Linked DNA regions of Canis lupus familiaris. The protein of the gene in region 3 interacts with the protein of the main gene of each other region in a pairwise test. Links are inferred from orthologs where the notes say so. Each region holds a gene or a part of one and is shown on either strand. Other genes may lie near its edges.

What was found.
Region 1: the proteins of GABARAPL1 (region 3) and TAX1BP1 interact in binary tests that used the Homo sapiens proteins (3 or more experiments, as listed by UniProt). The link is inferred for Canis lupus familiaris from reciprocal best matches to the Homo sapiens genes GABARAPL1 and TAX1BP1.
Region 2: the proteins of GABARAPL1 (region 3) and SCYL3 interact in binary tests that used the Homo sapiens proteins (3 or more experiments, as listed by UniProt). The two-hybrid records come from large-scale screens. The link is inferred for Canis lupus familiaris from reciprocal best matches to the Homo sapiens genes GABARAPL1 and SCYL3.

The regions. Positions count from the first base shown.
Region 1 is NC_049235.1:40,947,115-40,952,964, reverse strand, and holds part of TAX1BP1 (tax1-binding protein 1), read right to left. Parts: intron 3,213-5,850; 5' UTR 3,206-3,212; coding exon 3,044-3,205; intron 1-3,043.
Region 2 is NC_049228.1:28,710,358-28,716,471, forward strand, and holds part of SCYL3 (protein-associating with the carboxyl-terminal domain of ezrin), read left to right. Parts: intron 1-2,690; coding exon 2,691-2,862; intron 2,863-4,241; exon of another isoform or gene 4,242-4,683; intron 4,684-4,867; exon of another isoform or gene 4,868-5,270; coding exon 5,271-5,429; exon of another isoform or gene 5,430-6,114. UniProt on the Homo sapiens protein: May play a role in regulating cell adhesion/migration complexes in migrating cells.
Region 3 is NC_049248.1:10,351,737-10,357,913, forward strand, and holds the start of GABARAPL1 (gamma-aminobutyric acid receptor-associated protein-like 1), read left to right. Parts: upstream 1-1,796; 5' UTR 1,797-2,078; coding exon 2,079-2,168; intron 2,169-6,177. UniProt on the Homo sapiens protein: Ubiquitin-like modifier that increases cell-surface expression of kappa-type opioid receptor through facilitating anterograde intracellular trafficking of the receptor. Involved in formation of autophagosomal vacuoles.

The DNA.
Region 1 (5,850 bases), on a different chromosome or scaffold from region 3:
GATAGTCTAAAACATTTTCTGTCTCCATTCTCTTCTAATTTCAATTTAAATTTATCTTACTCAACCCTCCAAGATAAAGACTCACTTCTAAAATTACTCTCTGCTGTACTTCATTCCTCAGCCAAATATCCAAACCAAGCTTTTCCATTCATCTTCTAAAACTGATGATCTGTCCCAAACAAGTCAAATTCCTTTAACATTTTCACAAACATACCACACACACTTTCCCTTCATTCCTTCCCCCTTATAGCTACCATCCTGCACTTTCTCTTGCTTCCCTAAAATATTGTATCCATCAAAATCATCCTAGAGGGCAATTTGCAGTACACCTAAATGTTTTAAAACGTGCAATGCAATAAGCATGGCAATTCCACTCTATTAAACATGATTTATTTTCTTGAGACTTCCCGCACGTATTCTGAAATTTTTACCACATACCTGAAATTCCTATCAAGTTTAAAAGTATTATCCAGGCAATTCTATAATCCAAGCGCATTCCATACCACTGTATTCATTTATGTAAGTATTATTTCTTAGAGAAAAGTTACAGCACTTGAAGTGCACGTGAGATAAGAGTTTGGCATTACCAAAGTAAAAAATAAGGCAATTCCCGGGATCAAGTCCCATGTCGGGCTCCCTGCATGGAACCTGCTTCTCCCTCTGCTTGTGTCTCTGTCTCTCTCTCTCTCTCTCTCAGTCTCTCATGAATAAATAAAATCTTTGAAAAAATAATAATAAGCAGGCTATGACCAAAAAAAATGAAGTTACATATACAGAAGCTTTATATGGGGAACCTGGGTAGCTCAGTTAAGCGTCTGTCTGCAGCTCAGATCATAATCCCAGGATCCTGTGATCAAGCCCCACTTTAGGCTCCCTACTCAGCATGGGGAGTCCGTTTTTGTTTCTCCCTCTGCCTCTCCCCCAGCTCATGCTCACAAGCTCCCAAATAAATAAAATCTTAAAAAAAAAAAAAAGGAAGCCTTATATGGCACACTGGTAAAGTTATTTGGTCTTGGCGTTATTCTACAGATAATGAAAAACTAAGAGTTTGAAACAAAAAGAAGATATGTTCAGATTTTCATTTTATAATATAGTTTATATACAGTACTTTGAAGAACAGATAAGGTAGGGGGACAAGAATGAAAACAGGGAAAACAAGTGCAATAATTTTGGAAAGGGCATAAAACTAGAGCACTGATATCACAGATACAAAAATACATATGCAATAAAATGTAAAGAAATGGTGTTTGAATAGATTTGAAAGGAAAGTAATTAGCTTTTGGCTTAGGCAATAGGCCATTAACTAAAAATTGAGGGGAAAAAAAAACTTCAAAGGAAAAAGGTAAAGATTCATCTTGAAATGCAATTTATCATACATCAGCCTACATACCTACATATGCAAAGACATCCCATTGCCCAAAATAGAAACCTACATTTTAATTTTAGCCTATAACTAAAGGTCTCCATAGATAGTCTGAAGCTTAATTCCAACATTACCTCCCTCTACTTTCCTAAATGAAGGTCATTTTCTAGTCAAACTAACTTGTCTCAATAACATTCTCAACTCTGTGGCTCTGCTTATACCATTTTCCTGCCAGAAATGCCCCTCCTTTCCCTCAATCTTATTTCCTTGCTCTACTTTTGTCTGACCAATTCCTATACAAAACACCAATTTTCACTCAGCTTCTTTAACTTGATAACCCATACTTCACATAAAATCAAACCAGTACTAACTTCATAAAAATGCTTACAATGAATGTATCCCCATTTTGGAATTTGACTCAAACAATAAATAGATTAAAAAATAGTAAATGATTCCTCTATCATCAAAATCAAGGAAGGGATTCAAAAAAGAAATGAAACGTCATTAGATGCCAAAACTTTCTTTGTCCAATAGTTTTTCGGCCCTCCTCACTCTAAAAGGCTGACTTTCACTTCTAGATACCTGTGTTTCATTCTGGCAGCTGTTCTTTCTTTCTACTTTGTTGTAACTTATACACACCATGCAATCAAAATTTCAAGACCCTTAAAATCATATCTAAAACTCATTCTGAGGGAGAATCTAGAGGAACTGAGGAGAAAAGTTTTATTATTTGGACATTTACGACATTTTGATTGTTGAAAGGACACTTTTTAATTTTATTTAAGTAATCTCTACACCCAATGTGGGGCTCAAACTCACAAACCCAAGATCGAGAGTCACATGTTCTTCCAACTGAGCCAGCCAGGCACCCTAAGGACTCACCTCACGTTTTAGTTATCCACTACATTCTTAAGAGTTGAAATTGCCAGTAAATTTCTAGCACAGAGAAGCACCACCATAAAGATCACCTCAAAGTAATTCTCAAGCAACTACTATACAAAATGACTAGCAAAAGGTAAGAACTGGGATTCCTGTCATCAGAGAGTTTACTATTTAGTCATGTAAAAACAGAATACTCTTAATAAAATGGGGCAGCCCGGGTGGCTCAGCAGTTTAGCACTGTCGTCAGCCCTGGGCCTGATCCTGGAGACCCAGGATCAAGTCCCATGTCGGGCTCCCTGCATGAAGCCTGCTTCTTCCTCTGCCTGTGTTTCTGCCTCATGAATAAATAAAATTTAGAAAAAAAAAAAAAAAAAAGCATAAAATGACATGAGCAATAATTAATCAACGTAGAATAGAAAAATAACACGGCTGTAGAGTTGTATAAAATTAATTATAAATGACTGAAGAGATAGTAAATGATAAAGCAACTCAAAGGAAAAGACCTTTTTTCAAATAAGGAATGGAAAAAATGGAAGGGAAAGAAAGGTTCCAAAAAGTGTTTCACAGACCTTTTGATCAGAGAGACGGGCAAAACTGGTGAACTTTAGTTCCCAGTATCGTATACCACCCTGCACTATTAGGTGTTTCATGTTTATAAAGCATTTAAGTTTACAAATGTAAAAAGACCCTTATCGCAGAGTGAAGACAAGGCTAATACAAGCTACTTATCAACCTGCTTAAAAAGAAAATAGAGTACCTATACCTACATGGAAGAAACATGCAACAAACTGTTCTTACCTTGAATATACCAACCCAATCTTTTGGATGTGGATGGATATATGGAGTTAAGGTGTAATGACATTCCAGGTGTGCATTAGGAAGATAACTCTTGGCCACATTTTGAAAGATGACATGGGCAAAGTTGGAAGTCTGCAAGGGGACTTCTTGAAAGGATGTCATTGTGAATCTGAAACAAGCAAATCATACAAGTTGAATGATACCAACTAACACAAAGTTTATACCTTCAGAAAATACACAAAACTAAATGCAAATTACAAGAGCATCTGCATGCCATAATTATTGAGAAGACACACACTTGGAATTCCTCCTTAAAAACATGATTGAGGGCAGACCCGGTAGCTTAGCGGTTTTGCACCGCCTTCCGCCCAGGGCGCGATCCTGGAGATCTGGGATTAAGACCAACGCCAGGCTCCCTGCATGGAGCCTGCTTCTCCCTCTGCCTGTTTGTGTGTGTCTCTCTATCTCTAATAAATAAATAATTAAAAAAAACATGATTGAATATATAAAAATACAAACTGATGGAATGCCTGGGTGGCTAAGTGGTTGGATGCATCTGCCTTTGGCTCAGGGTGTAATCCCAGAGTACCTGAGTCAAGTCCCACATCAGGCTCCCTGCATGGAGCCTGCTTCTCCCTCTGCCTATGTCCCTGCCTGTGTCCCTCATGAATAAACAAAATCTTTTTAAGAAATAAAACTACAGGGGATCCCTGGGTGGCGCAGCGGTTTGGCGCCTGCCTTTGGCCCAGGGCGCGATCCTGGAGACCCGGGATCGAGTCCCACGTCGGGCTCTCGGTGCATGGAGCCTGCTTCTCCCTCTGCCTGTGTCTCTGCCTCTCTCTCTCTCTCTCTCTCTCTGTGACTATCATAAATAAATAAAAATTAAAAAAAAATTTAAAAAAAAAAAAAAGAAATAAAACTACATCTGCAAGACATAAATGTTTCCCATATTTTGTGCTCTACTTTTGAGAAAAAGGATACAACTGAGGATTTACTCAAAAAATCTATACAGTATCACAGACTCAGTACAATTATTGATTGTATACTACATATAAGAAACTATGACAATGTCCCTATAGTACTTGCTCCTGTATCATCATAAAAATCCCCATAATGTGACAGGAAAACCTGGGCAAGCTTTTTGCTAACCAAATGAATCTAATTTACTTTATAAATCAATAAAGTCTCTATAGGGCAAGCACAGCAGTTAGTCTCTATTCATATTTTAACTATTAAAATCTTAATTGTTAAGATTGAAGACAACATGCTTATACGTTTCTTTTGCTGACCTGTTTGAAACACTAAGGCAAATTTTCAAAATTTCAAGATAAATACTTCAGAAAATATCCACTTTTCTTCTTGTATCTTCTCTGCTTCTGTTAAAGTACTGCTTTACTGGAACAGTATATTAGACATCTCATAAAGAGACTATCAATGGTGAGCCTGGGAGCCACCATGGTAGAGTACCAGTCTAGTTGTCAGTTAGCCTCTCCACAACCTGAGCTTTGCCAGGATTCCAATGCAAGGAGAGTGCATCCAGTAGCAATCCTCCTGTCCATGGCTTATTACCAGCAGCCCTATTTTACAGAAGGATTTGACTATCACTATTATGCCAAAGCCATCAATAAAACGAAAAGATAGCACTTACATACAAACACTGGGAACGCTGTCTAAAATAAATGAAGAGTTTTATTACTTTCTTTGAATTGTCTGAGCTAATTTGGGCTCAGGGGGATGTCATGATGCTAATAAAATCACTAATGATAATCGCTTTTCAAGTCAATGGTTATACTAGTTAAGAGAAACAATAGCTAAAAATCAATGAAACCAACTTCTAGCAGATCCAACTACCAAAACTGAGACAAATGAATGAATCAGTAATATATTTCTAGGGAGAAAATAAGTATTTAGGATTCTCTGAGGAAAACATTTAGTAAGGAAAAAATAAGGTTAGCTTAGACTGAGTTGCCAATGTTTTTTGCTAAAAGTAATTTAAGAATGAAACTTTTTCTTAAGACTTAACATATTTCCTTTTTTTTTTTTTAAGATTTATTTATTTATTCACGAGAGACACAGAGAGAGAGAGGCAGAGACAGGCAGAGGGAGAGGCAGGCTCCATGCAGGTCTCCAGGATCACACCCTGAGCTGCAGGCGGTGCTAAACCGCTGTGCCACGCCACCGGGGCTGCCCTTAAGACTTAACATATTTCCTAAAGTAAACTAAATCAACAAAGCTGTAATTGTTATAAAACAAGTCAGTGAAGTTTAAACTTTTGTTTAACCTCAACTACACTGTTTTAAAAATCTATAATCCAATCTTACACTTTCGCTTCACTGAAAAAGTAGAAAGTAGGAAGGTATACTTCCTACTATGTATTTATGTATTTATGTATATGTATTTATTTATGTGTATGTGTGTATATACACTTACAAATGCATCAAAAAGGACTAAAAAATACAAGAGTTAATAACAAATGCATCAAAAAGGACTTAAAATAAAGTTAATAGTCTTTACTCATGAGGGACTATGTGTGAAGACTTTTAATGGATTTTTTATCAGTATGTATAAACTCATCTTCATTTTAAATCAACATATTGACATGAAATTTCATTTTAAACCTTCCCCCATTCAAGTTTTTAATAGAAGACTCTAACATCAGACTTTAAATATATTCATGATTATAAATCTTTTTTTTTTAATTTTTATTTATTTATTTATGATAGTCACAGAGAGAGAGAGAGAGAGGCAGAGACATAGGCAGAGGGAGAAGCAGGCTCCATGCACCGGGAGCCTGACGTGGGATTCGA
Region 2 (6,114 bases), on a different chromosome or scaffold from region 3:
TATTTGCTCTGTGTATTCAGGTGCTTCTATGGTGTGTGTATAGCTGTTTACTATTGTTCTATCGTTTTGTTGGATTTCTTTTCTATCCTCTTGTTGGATTGATCCCTTTATCATTATGTGGTGCGCTTCTTTGTTTCCTGCTGCAGCTTTGTTTTAAAATCTATTTTGTCTGATAAAAAATATTGCTACCTCAGCTTTTTTTTACTTCCACTTGTTTGGAATATCTTTTTTAATTCCTTCACTTTCAGTTTGTATGTATCTCTAGATTTGAGTGAGTCTCTTGTAGGCAGTATATTGATGGGTCTTGTTTTTTTTATCTGTGCAGTCAACTTGCATCTTTTGATTGGAAATTTAGTTCATTCATGTTTAAAGTAATTATTGATAGGTATGTACTCACTGCCATTTTAAACATGTTTTCTGGTTGTTTCTGTAGTTCTTCTGTGTTCCTTTCTTCTCTTGCTCTCTTCTGTTGTGGTTTGATGGTTTTCTTAGTGTTGTGCTTGGATTCCTTTCTCTTTTACATTTTGTGTATCTATTACAGGTGTTTGATTTGTGGTTAGCACTAAGTTCATATATAAAATCTTGTGTGTATAGCAGTCTATTTTAAGTTGATGGTCTTTCCAGTGCTTTCTTTAGACTGTGTTTGAACTTAATTTTTACTACCCCCCCCAACCTTTTATGTACATGAGGTCATGTTTTATATCTTTTTTTGTGTATTCTTTGATTTTTGTAGATTATAGTTGATTTTACTTCTTTTGTGTTTTAACCTCCATATTGCTCTAAAAGTGGTTATCTGCCTTTTACTATATGTTTGTTTTGCCTGTGAAATTTTTTCCTTTCATAATTTTCTTACTATGGATTATGTCATTTTCTTTCCACTCAAAGAATTCCTTTAACATTTCTTGTATGGTTGGTTTAGTAGTGATGTACTCCTTGAACTTTTGTCTGGGAAACTGTCTCTCCTATTCTGAAAAATAACCTTGCTGGGTAGAGCATTCTTGGTTGCAGGTTTTTTCCTTTCAGTATTTTGAGTATCCTGCCACTCCCCCTGGCCTGCAGAATTTCTCCTGAGAAATCAGCTCATAGTGTTATGGGATTTTATTTGTCTGCAACTGTTTACTTTTTTTTTGCTGCTTTTAAAATTCTCTCTTGATGATCATTTTCATTTCAGTTATATTGTGTCATGGCATGGGCCTTCTTAGGTTAATCTGGTTAGGGGCCCTCCTTGCTTCTTGGGCTTGGATGTCTGTTTCCTTTCCCAGATTAGGGATGTCTTCAGCAATTATTTCTTCAGATGAGTTTTGTTTTCTTTTCTCCCCTTCTTCTGGGATTCCTGTAAGTACTGTTATTATGCTTGATGTCACTGAATTCCTTTAACCTATCCTCATGTTTATTATTTTCCTTTTTGCCGTTCAGTTTGAGTGCATTCCATTACCATTTTCCAATTGCTGATTCGCCAATATCAATCTTCTATCTACTAATCAACTGATATTTCCTTAGTGTATTTTTTGTTATTGAATTTTTTAATATTTTGTTTGTTGAAATGATTTTTGTTTTGTTGAAATGCTGATTTCACCCACTCTTTTCTCAAGTCTATTGAGTATCTTTATGACCATTACTTCGAATAAGGCATATTGTTTATCTCCATTTCATGTAGCTCTTTTGTTGTGATTTTGTTCTTTCATTTGGGGACATGTTCCTTTGTCTCTTCGAATAAGGCATATTGTTTATCTCCATTTCATGTAGCTCTTTTGTTGTGATTTTGTTCTTTCATTTGGGGACATGTTCCTTTGTCTCTTCATTTTGTCTCTCAGTTTGTTTCTATGTATTAGGGAAATCAGCTACATCTTGTGTGGAAGAGGTCCTGTGGTGCCCAAAAGGGTAGTCCTTGACAGGTCATCAGTACCAGGCACTCCAGAGGGGTCTCCTGTATGGGTGATGCATACCCTACTCTTGTGGCTGAGCCTCATTTGCCTTTAGCACAGTCAGCTCTTGTGACCCACTTTGCCTGCTGTGGACACAGCGGACAGTGTTTGCTCCCTGTGCTGTTGAGAGGCCTGAAGCTGCTCTGCGCTCATTGGTAGGTAGGGCCAGTTGTCAGACTAGATGTCTGCAGTTAGCTCCTCTGCCACAGGTATAGGCTCTTGTCACTCTGTCTTTTGACTGAATATTTAGATTCTCCAAAGATTTGGAGAGGCCTCTATAGCCATACCACCCTGAACCCCACCCCATCTCAGCTAATCTGACAGTAAGCAGGGTCAGGCCTAATCAGTAGTTGCTGGGAGGCCTCCTTGGAATACTAGCTGTCGTCAGTATTTAAGAGGCTGTCGTCTCTTAAAGAGCTGAGATCTCCTGAGTGCTCAGCTGCCTCTGATCCTGGGGCACGAGCTGACAGGAATGATGGACAAGTCTAGAACCTTTTATAGCAGTTTCACAGTAATTTTATATTATTTCTAATGTCTTTTTGTTTTTTATTGTATTTTTAATGGTGTTTCAGTCTGTGATTGATTGGGAGGGGAAAATACTGGTCCTTGACCACGGTCAGTTTTGAGAGCTACTGACCTAGAACACCTATGTAAAAAATGAAGTCATCTGAGCAAGCATAGACTGATTGCAGTCCAGTTGGTTGTTTATGGGGACAAAAGACAGGCAACATGGTTGTGTACACTTATGACCTGATTTGCTCCTAGGTGTTACTGGGCTTGCGTGATACCAGCGATTCCATTGTGGCAATTACTCTTCACAGCCTAGCAGTACTGGTGTCTTTACTTGGACCAGAGGTGGTTGTGGGAGGAGAAAGAACCAAGATCTTCAAACGCACTGCCCCAGGTTTTACTAAAACGGTCAACCTTTCCCCAGAAGGTAAGAATGAAAAGTACAGCTTTTTATTTTAATTAGATTTTTAACAAATAACATGGTGGGTTGTCTTCAGTCAAATGATACAGAGAATGGTAAAGAGTAATTTCCCTTTCCCAATTCCTTCTGGGTGTGTAAGGTAACCAGTTTTAATAGTTTAGTGGGACTCTTTTCTTCCCTTTTGTAAAACCCACAAAGACACACAGATGTATGTTTATACACACATGCCCATATGTAGAATTTTTTAAAAAAACAATGAGCAAATACTACGTGCAATTGTACAGCCTAATTTTCACACGTAGTGGCTTATCAGAGACTGGTTTCTAGGTCAGTACATAGTAATGACACCTTTTTTGACAGCTGCCTAATATTTCACTGAATACGATTCAGTGATTTCCCTCTTAATGGATATTGCTTTCATTTCTGGATTTTTAACCACTACATTGATGCAGCAGATGTCTTTGTACCTGTATCTTTATGTAGTTTGGCTTTTATTGCTAAAAGATAAAGTCCCAGAAGTAGACCTACTGAGTCAAATGATGTATATTTAAAATTTTAGTAGATACTGTCAGCTTCTAAAAGGGCTGTAGCACCTTATAACACTAGATATTCAAATTTTTCTGGCATTGATGGCCTTTTAAGTAAAGAGCTGTTGGTTTTTAGTTACTTCAAGAAATCCTTATTTCTGGGCTATTTCCCATTGGATGTTACATGGGACAGAGCATTACTTTCTGGTCTTTGTAGGCAGTAAAAGTCAAGAATTTTATATCAGCATTATTGCTTCTTTGGTCCTGGGTATAACCTAGAATCAGATGGTGACCTTGTGAGGAAACGCAGATCTCTGATTCAGTTGTCGTGGATAGTGTATTTGATATTATCCAAATAGTTACAGTAGAAAAGATCAGATTTTCCCCTAATTTTGATGCCAGGAGAATCTTTAAAGCAACACTGGCTTTCTGAAGTTTTGATGGGTCCATGTCTTCATGGTGCCAATGAAGTCTGTGTCCAGATTTGCAGAAGGTCATGAAGAAGCTGCTCCCTCCTCTCCTGCCAGGATATGTTCACACTGCATTGAGTGAATGAAGGCCGTGTGTTACCAGTTTTTCTCTTAGCAGAGTACAACAAACAGCAAATGAGAGATTTATTTATATTTCCTAACACAGGAACATTGAGGGGGGATGGTGGTGGTGGTATGTGCTATTTTGAGATAAGACTGTGGGAGTCCATCTCAGGGCAGCTTTGTATGTTGAATTAGCAAGAGTCCCCATTCTTCATAACTGTTTTATTTATTAGATGCAGTTTCCTAGTTCTGGACATTTTATATACTATTGACGTGTAATCTTAGAAACCAAAAAGGCACCAAAAGCAGGAGTAACAAATGAATTTTTATTAAAATAGATGTTCCTGGAGACTTTACAAAACAGATCAAGGTCTGATCCCACTGACTTCCCAAAGTAGTTAAACTCTTCATCCAAGATGGCTGTCGACCCCTGGTTGCAGCCTGCATTTCAAGTTCATGGCTAGAGTGGTCCTTCTTCTGAAGGATGAGAGAGAATGCTGGGGAGGGGGCATGGATACAGGAGGCTACCCTTAGACTTTTTCCTCCTTCTGTTCTTCTGCAGTTTCACTATATGGTCAGACTTCATATGGGATAATATTGAGGTTTATGAAAAGGGTAGTATCTTACTTACATTAGGGAAGTCAGTCTGGATGGAGGAGAGTTGGAGGAGACCCTGGGAGGCCCTCAGCAGGGAGGGTGGTGACAGAAGCAGGCAAGAGGCTACAGGGCTTGCAGAGGTCAGGCAGGGCCTCCCTGTGATGACCTACCTAGGCATAGGAAGTATTAAGCCAAAAATTTTGCTGGAATCCTTTGACCAAAGCCCACTGTTGAGTATGAATTTTCTGGCAAACTGTTAAAGACCATTTTTTTTTTGGAAACATTTTTTTCCCCCAGCTGGGAGTTAAATGTTTGTAACATAAAATTTACCATTTTAACCATTTTTACTGTACAGTTTGTGGCATTAAGTACATTCACATTGGTGTGCTTGTATTCTTAGACTTTTTTTTTTTTTTAAGTAGAATCAATTATTTTAAATTGACAAAATGTTCAGTGGCTGTTAACTTTTTTAATTAGGTATTCTAAAGGTTATATCTAATCCAACTGCTCACCCAATGCTTGAACTGTTTCAAGTCCCTTACCATCATGTAGACCTCAGCCTGCCCTGAAACACCTTGAGGACACAGGCAGGCCATTCTGTAATGAGTGTGTTTCTTCAGATATTTAAAGATTCTCTCTGCAACTTATCCTTTATCTGTGTTAAATATACCCATTTCCCCTGTTACTCACTTACCCTGACAGAGCAAGAAGCTATTTACTATCCTTTTTATTTTTGGGAGTTTTTATTTATCTTCAGATTCTCCCCCGCACGTCTTCTGTAGCCAGCAGAGTCAGACGGCGCCAATCTTGGAGAACCCCTCCTCTGGCATGTTCCCTAAATGTTTCTTTTCTGGCAGCATGCCCATCAGCAAGAAGCAGATACAGCGAGATTGCTACAATACTCTTTTACAGACAGGTAGAAATATTCAATTTATATAGTTTTTCCACTGTTACATGAATGTTATTCCTGAGTACAGAGTTATAAATTTTAAAAATTAAGGGCAGTTTGGGAATAACGAGGCTGATTTCTGTATAACTGTAGTCAGCTGGGGTGTCATCTGCTTTTCCTGGACTACAGGTTATATACCTACCATTTCTTCATAACTGGTGAGGAGAGCTAGCTGACATTATTTTGGTACTTCTGGTGCTTTAGTGCAACATTTTCCAAACTATATCAGAGGATGCTAATTCTGTTAGATGGCAGTAGGTATGCCATGAAAAAGAGAGTTGTGTGGTTAAGTAAGTTTGGGGAGATGTTAGTAGCAGAGTCCTGACACACTTATTGTGCAAGATTCCAGGACCTTGACTACATTTAAGGATATCTGATTAAAATGAGGGTATGTTAGGGTTGCCTGGGTGGCTCAGTTGGTTAAGCATCTTACTCTTGATTTCAGCTCAGGTCATGATCTCAGGGTCTTGAGATCAAGCCCCTCTGTGCTGGGCATGGAGCCTGCTTAAGATTCTCTCTTTCTCTCTTCTGCCACCCCCCCCCCCTTCTAAAAAAAATAAAAGAGATACTATGTTGGTTTAAGGCAAACTTATTTGAGCACACAACACTTTTTGGGGTTAACACTGCCTGGCTTAGAACATTTCTATATTTG
Region 3 (6,177 bases):
CAGAGAAACAAACCTTTTTTTTTTTTTTTAAGATTTTATTTATTTATTCATGAGAGACACAGAGAGGCAGAGACATAGGCAGAGGGAGAAGCAGGCTCCCTGTGAGGAGCTGATGTGGGACTCCATCTCAGGACCCCAGGATCCCAACCTGAGCCAAAGGCAGATGCTCAACCAAGGAGTCACCCAGGTGTCCCAAGAACCACACCCTTAAAATATTCATCTCCATCACAATTATCTTTCTCAGCTGGTTGTAAAGTACTTCCTTTCAGAGATTTTAGCTATAGTGGGTCAAAACTAAAATGAGCTAACATTTGGTTGAAAATAAGGATTAAAAATTATAAACATATAATGTGATAGACTCGTTCCTGGGTTTTTATACTAAAGAGGACTGAAAGACATCATGGAGGAGAAATAATTAACGTCAAGAGGTAAGGCTATTGATCTTCATTTTCCTTTTTTCAATAATGAAACTTAGTTTCTTTTATTTTGTGGGTTTGTTTTTTAAACCAGAGACATGGGGACTGCTGTTGTATATTTATTTCAGAGCTCCCTGGACTTGATCAAAGCAAAGCGGTCCTTCCTCTCTCTTCTATACCTTTTACAATTTTCTCTGCCTTCCTCCTGCTGATCTACAATCCCTGGAATCACTGCCATTGGCAGTGGTTGGAAAGGCCTTAATTCTTCCATTCTTAGTGGGGCCAGGGGACGGCCAGAGGCAAGCGACAACGGCAGGTGGCCCACCAGTCTTCCACCAGCCCTTCGGGTGGCACTTTATTTCACCTTAGGGACACTTAACAAGTAGTACTATCCTCTGGTGAATTTTTGCAGAATAAAAACAGAAATGGGGGATCCCTGGGTGGCGCAGCGGTTTGGCGCCTGCCTTTGGCCCAGGGCGCGATCCTGGAGCCCCGGGATCGAATCCCACGTCGGGCTCCCGGTGCATGGAGCCTGCTTCTCCCTCTGCCTGTGTCTCTGCCTCTCTCTCTCTCTCTCTCTCTGTGACTATCATAAATAAATAAAAATTAAAAAAAAAAACAACAGAAATGTTTAAGAGGTACTTTGTGAACCACCTGAATTGCTTGGTTATTTTCTTTTCCAGAAGACAGGCCCACCCTCTGAGTTCGTAGGAGAAAGTGAATCATTTCTATATCGGAGCGTGAGCGACGCCCTCGGCAGCGATGACTGACATCACTTCTCAGGACCTTGACGACAAGCTTGCCCTTCAGCTTCTACATCTCAAATTCCTGAGTCATGCTCTGTTGTTGCTGCCGCTCTAGGAGCGAATTGCGGCAAGGACCCAAACAAAATGACGTGCGCGCGCGTGGTGAAGGAGGGTCACGGTCGGAGCGCGCCAGCCCAGCGCCCAGGAGCGGGGGTGCAGACGAGGAGCAAAGGGCACAGTGCAGGCACCGGGCACTTCCGTACCGGGCCAAAGGCACCCGACGACCCCCATTCTTTCTTCTCCTAGATTCCAGATCCCAATAAGCTGGAAAGAGCTCGATTTTCGCCCCCTGTGTTTGTTTTTGGATCCAACCAAGAAACAGCGAGCAAGAGGGAATAAGATATCTTTAGAACGTATTTTTTTTTTTTTTTTTTGCATCCAAACCACTTTTAATGTCACAGCCACACAACGAAATTCGAAGTAAAAAAGTTATATGTTCGCAATACTCCCGACGCAGGAGAGTTCGGACAGAGGGAGAGGGGAGCGCGCCGAACCGGACCGACTTTCGCCCTCCCCCCCCGCCCCCCGCTGCCGTCCGAAGGCTGGGGGCGGGGCGGGGAGGCGGGACGTCATGACGTCATAATACCAACGCGCCGCCGTGTTGTTTTTGTGCTCGAGGCTCCGGGGAAAATCCGCCGGGATTTCTCCACCTGAGCGACTCCGTCTTGCGTCCGAGGGGACCCGACGTCCCTTCTGCAAGCTCTGCCAAGGCGCGTGGCGACGGGAGCTGACGTTTCTCAGGCGGTTCTGACACCTACATCGAAATTCGGCAGGGGGAGGCGAGGCGGGAGAGACGCAGCCACCCGCGAGGAAGGCAGGCCCCGGCCGGGGAATCTTAGAAACCCTGCGGTCCATCATGAAGTTCCAGTACAAGGAGGACCATCCCTTTGAATATCGGAAAAAGGAAGGAGAAAAAATCCGGAAGAAATATCCGGACAGGGTCCCTGTGAGTGTAATGGGGGGCAGGGAAGAGGAGGGGGGAAGGGGCTGAGCGCGCTTGGGGGAACCCGGGAGTCGTGGTGGCTGCCCTGAGGCACAGAAGAGGGGTGGTCTCTAGGGTTGCTGAGCCCCTGGAGAGCCGTGGAGCGCACGTCCTGATTGCGGACCCTGCACGGCCCGTCTCCCCGGGGCCGCTCTCCCCGTCATCTTTAGAGCGGAGCCTCCGTTTGAGTGACTCAGCAGTATTCAGAGGATGTGCAGGGTGAGAAGTGACCAGAACGTGGCCCTTTAGTGAGAGCAGGATCGAGATGGGACCATACATTCGCGTCCTTCAGAATCCCAGGGAAATTGTTCTGGAAATAACTTGGTGCAGTGAGGTTTGCGGCCATGGATTTCTGCCTTCGATGCGTCTCCCTGAAGTTGACTTTGGCTCTCAGAACATTGGGTTTGGGAGGGATAGATTCAGAAATCAGTGGATCCTTTCTTTTATTCCATAAGAATGAGAAAAGTGTCTTTGTTGGGGGGGGGGGGAGGGGAGGGCACGAGACAGGCCTGGCCCAGAAAACAAGGTCACGTTCTCTGCGCCACAGCCCGATTGCCTCATCATTCTTGGCTCCAGGGGCTTGTGAGGGTGCAGCCAGCCTCCCTCCTGTACTTATTCTATCAGATTGTACCTGGACACAACCATGAAGGACTGGGGCCTTTTGCTTCCGTCTTGGAAGCTGGTTTCTGTGGTTAAAATTAGTGCCGGCAGTGGGGAGAACAGAGAAACATTAAGGTAGCTTTCTGCATCCGGGCGCTTTTTTCGTCGCCCCATCCCCCGCCGCTTGCCTGTTTTTTTTTTTTTTTTTTTTTTTGTAATGTAGGCTGCGCAGCCAGATTGGAAGGCAGAAGACTTTTGAGTGTGGTGGTAGAGGGAACAACCACCGTTGGGTTTTGGAGATGGAGGAGCAGAGGCTGTCAGATTGTACTATCTTCAGGCAGGGACATTGGGATAAAGATGACGTATTATGTACAGGCAAAGTAATTGTGATTATGTGTTGTCAGTTCTTGACCTGCAGGTACTCTTTGGGACTCTTCTCCAATCCTTACCTAATTTTCATCGTGTTACAGCTACTGGAAGCAACTTGGGCCTTAATGCCTGCAGTAAAACTCCCCTGCAGTCCTTTATAAGGAAGCGAGACTTTAGGTCTGTTCCATTCCCCACGAATTGTACACAAGGGTTTTCAGCTAAAAAGGAGATCTAGCTCTATTACCCACCCAGTAAATGATCCTTCACAAATTACTTGTTTGGTATCTGGACTTTGGGTGACAGCTTCAAAAGTTTGCCCCAATTGTGGTGGTAGCAAGCCTCCTTTCGTCTAATAGTTAAAAATGACAACTAACTTTCATTGGTTGATTGTTTGCTCTATACTGACAGTATTGCATGTCCTCTGACCTTACTCAATCTTCACACCGTTATAATCCCATTCTACAGATGAAGGATCTGAAGCACAGAGAAATGACGGATTCCTAAAGGTTTCCTGTGGCTGGTGTGTGGCAGAGCCTGAGATTCCAACTCTGGTTGTTGGACCTTCCATGCCATATCGTTTCTCAATTTCTAATACAATTCTCTTAATTAAGAATTAAGGAAAATTAATCTCAGAATTAATTAAGGAGGCACTGTGTGACTCACACTGTTAGGTATTGGAAATTAAGAAAAAACATTGCAGCCCTAGAAAGGTCAGAGAAGTATGATGCCAGAAAGGTAACCCACTGAGCAAAATGACTACCATTTATTCAGAACAGTATGAGGCTCTGTTCCAGTAGCTCTGCCTAAGCCACAAACTCTGAAAGGTACCTGTTCCTAAATCTAGTTAAAATTCCCATGTATTTCTTCAAAACCGAGCCCTTGCCATTTCAGTCTCTTACATGCATTCACCCAGAGTATTTCAGCTAATCTTCCCTATTCTTTTCCTGCTCATTGTTTGGTGTTAAAAATGTTTGGCCTGTGTGATTACTTGTCAGCTCTTAGAATCATCACTCAGGTCTCATGGTTCCTTCAGTTGGGTTTTAACCAGTTTATAAGCGTTCCAGCTGCTCCTTAGGTGCTCAGCCTGTGACCTTCTTTGTGGTCGTGATGCAGGAAGAAGAGCTCTGCTCTCTGAGTTGTGAGATTTAGTTTTGGGCCAGATCCTTAATCTTGCTGTACTAAAGTGTACAGAAAAGAGGGTTAGTGTAAGTGATTTCTAAAACCCCTTCCAGCTGGGCCATTGGTATTTACCAAAGCAATCAGGTTCCCTGACTGCTCACATAACTCAGTTTTAGTTAGGCCCCTCCTTATCTCTTAGCTACCATCCAAAAGAATGGATGTGCTCCTGCCTTGAGAGGAAAGGTTTTCTTTGGATCTTAAAGTATCTGCATAGCTACAGTGTATTGAAAACCTTCAACACTGCAGGAAACTGTTAGGGACATATTGTCTATTCTTTAAAATTTGTAAAAGCCCTTGTGGAATATTGGCCGTATTGCACAGAAGAAAAAAACACGTCGAGAACCAAAGAGGAAAAGCATCTAGTCCAGGGCCTATGAGTAGAGTTGGGGTTGTTGGAAACCTAAGATATTTTCTGGTAAGCCAAGGCCTTAATGATTACCCATCCCCCTCCTGTTCATCTCCAAATCCCAACCTCCTGTCTGGATATCTTATTTGCAGTATATTTTATTGCCTCTTTTTCTGCTCTCTTTTTGTGGTTTCTGTCACTTCTTACTGATGGGAGCGGGAGGTCTCAGGGTTCCTTTGGGAAACAGTGTTAGGCTCCCTCTCTTTCCCTTTGCTTTTTTATTAACCTGATGCCTCCTGTCCATCCTCATTGTTGGGCCTTCACTGGTCTATCCCTGAACTTCTTCCTACTTTTTCTTTTAAATTTCTGATTCACGTATTTTTTTTTCTGGTTTTCACTTCTAAATTTTTAGAGGGATCATGTCCCTTCAGTCTTCCTGGTTCAGGATTCTTTTTCTCCAGAAACACAAAATAATGTTTTTTACTCCTTTTATGTGTTCCCTTTCATTTAAAAGCTTCAAGCCTCCAAGTCTCTCCTCTTAAATCGTTCCTTTTATTAAGATAATTCTTCATAATTTACAAAACATTTTCACATAAAATTTTATGGATTACTCAAAGTTACTGTAGGAGTACCATGACTGTAGAAGATATATTGGAAAGTTTCATCTTCCTATTACTCACCGGAATGCTGTAGTTCAAAGAAGTTAAATGACCTGTTGAAGATCACAAAGTTCCCTGGGATACTTGTCTAGTGTTACTTCTACTTCTGTAACTCTTCTAGATTTTCTGTGTGTTTGATCAAGAATGATTGTATTTTTTTTTTTTTTTAAGATTTTATTTATTCCTGAGAGGGGCAGAGACATAGGCAGAGGGAGAAACAGGCTTCCCACAGGGAGCCTGATGCAGGCCTTGATCCCAGGACCCTGGGATCATGAACCAAAGGTAGATGCTCAACCACTGGGTCACCCTGGTGCCCTACAAAAGATTTTAAATATTTATAATTTCAGTTAAGTTACATAAATTATAAATACTAAGTATATTTTTATAATTATTTCTTAAAGATATGTTGTTTAAATTAATATTTGAAACTTTATGCATAAAGTCTTTAATTTTTATATATCTTCTTTTTTTCTTTTTTCTTTTCATTAGAGAAATATATGATCCTTATAAAATTTGATCATAGAGGGGATCCCTGGGTGGCGCAGCGGTTTGGCGCCTGCCTTTGGCCCAGGGCGCGATCCTGGAGACCCGGGATCGAATCCCACGTCGGGCTCCCGGTGCATGGAGCCTGCTTCCCCCTCTGCCTGTGTCTCTGCCTCTGTCTCTCATTCTCTCTCTGTGTCTTCCATGAATAAATAAATAAAAATCTTTAAAAAAAAATTTGATCATAGACATATTTAATGTAGACATTGAAAATCCTTATAACACCAACCAATATTGATAAATAGGTTATCATAAGTGACTTCACGTTACAGGATCT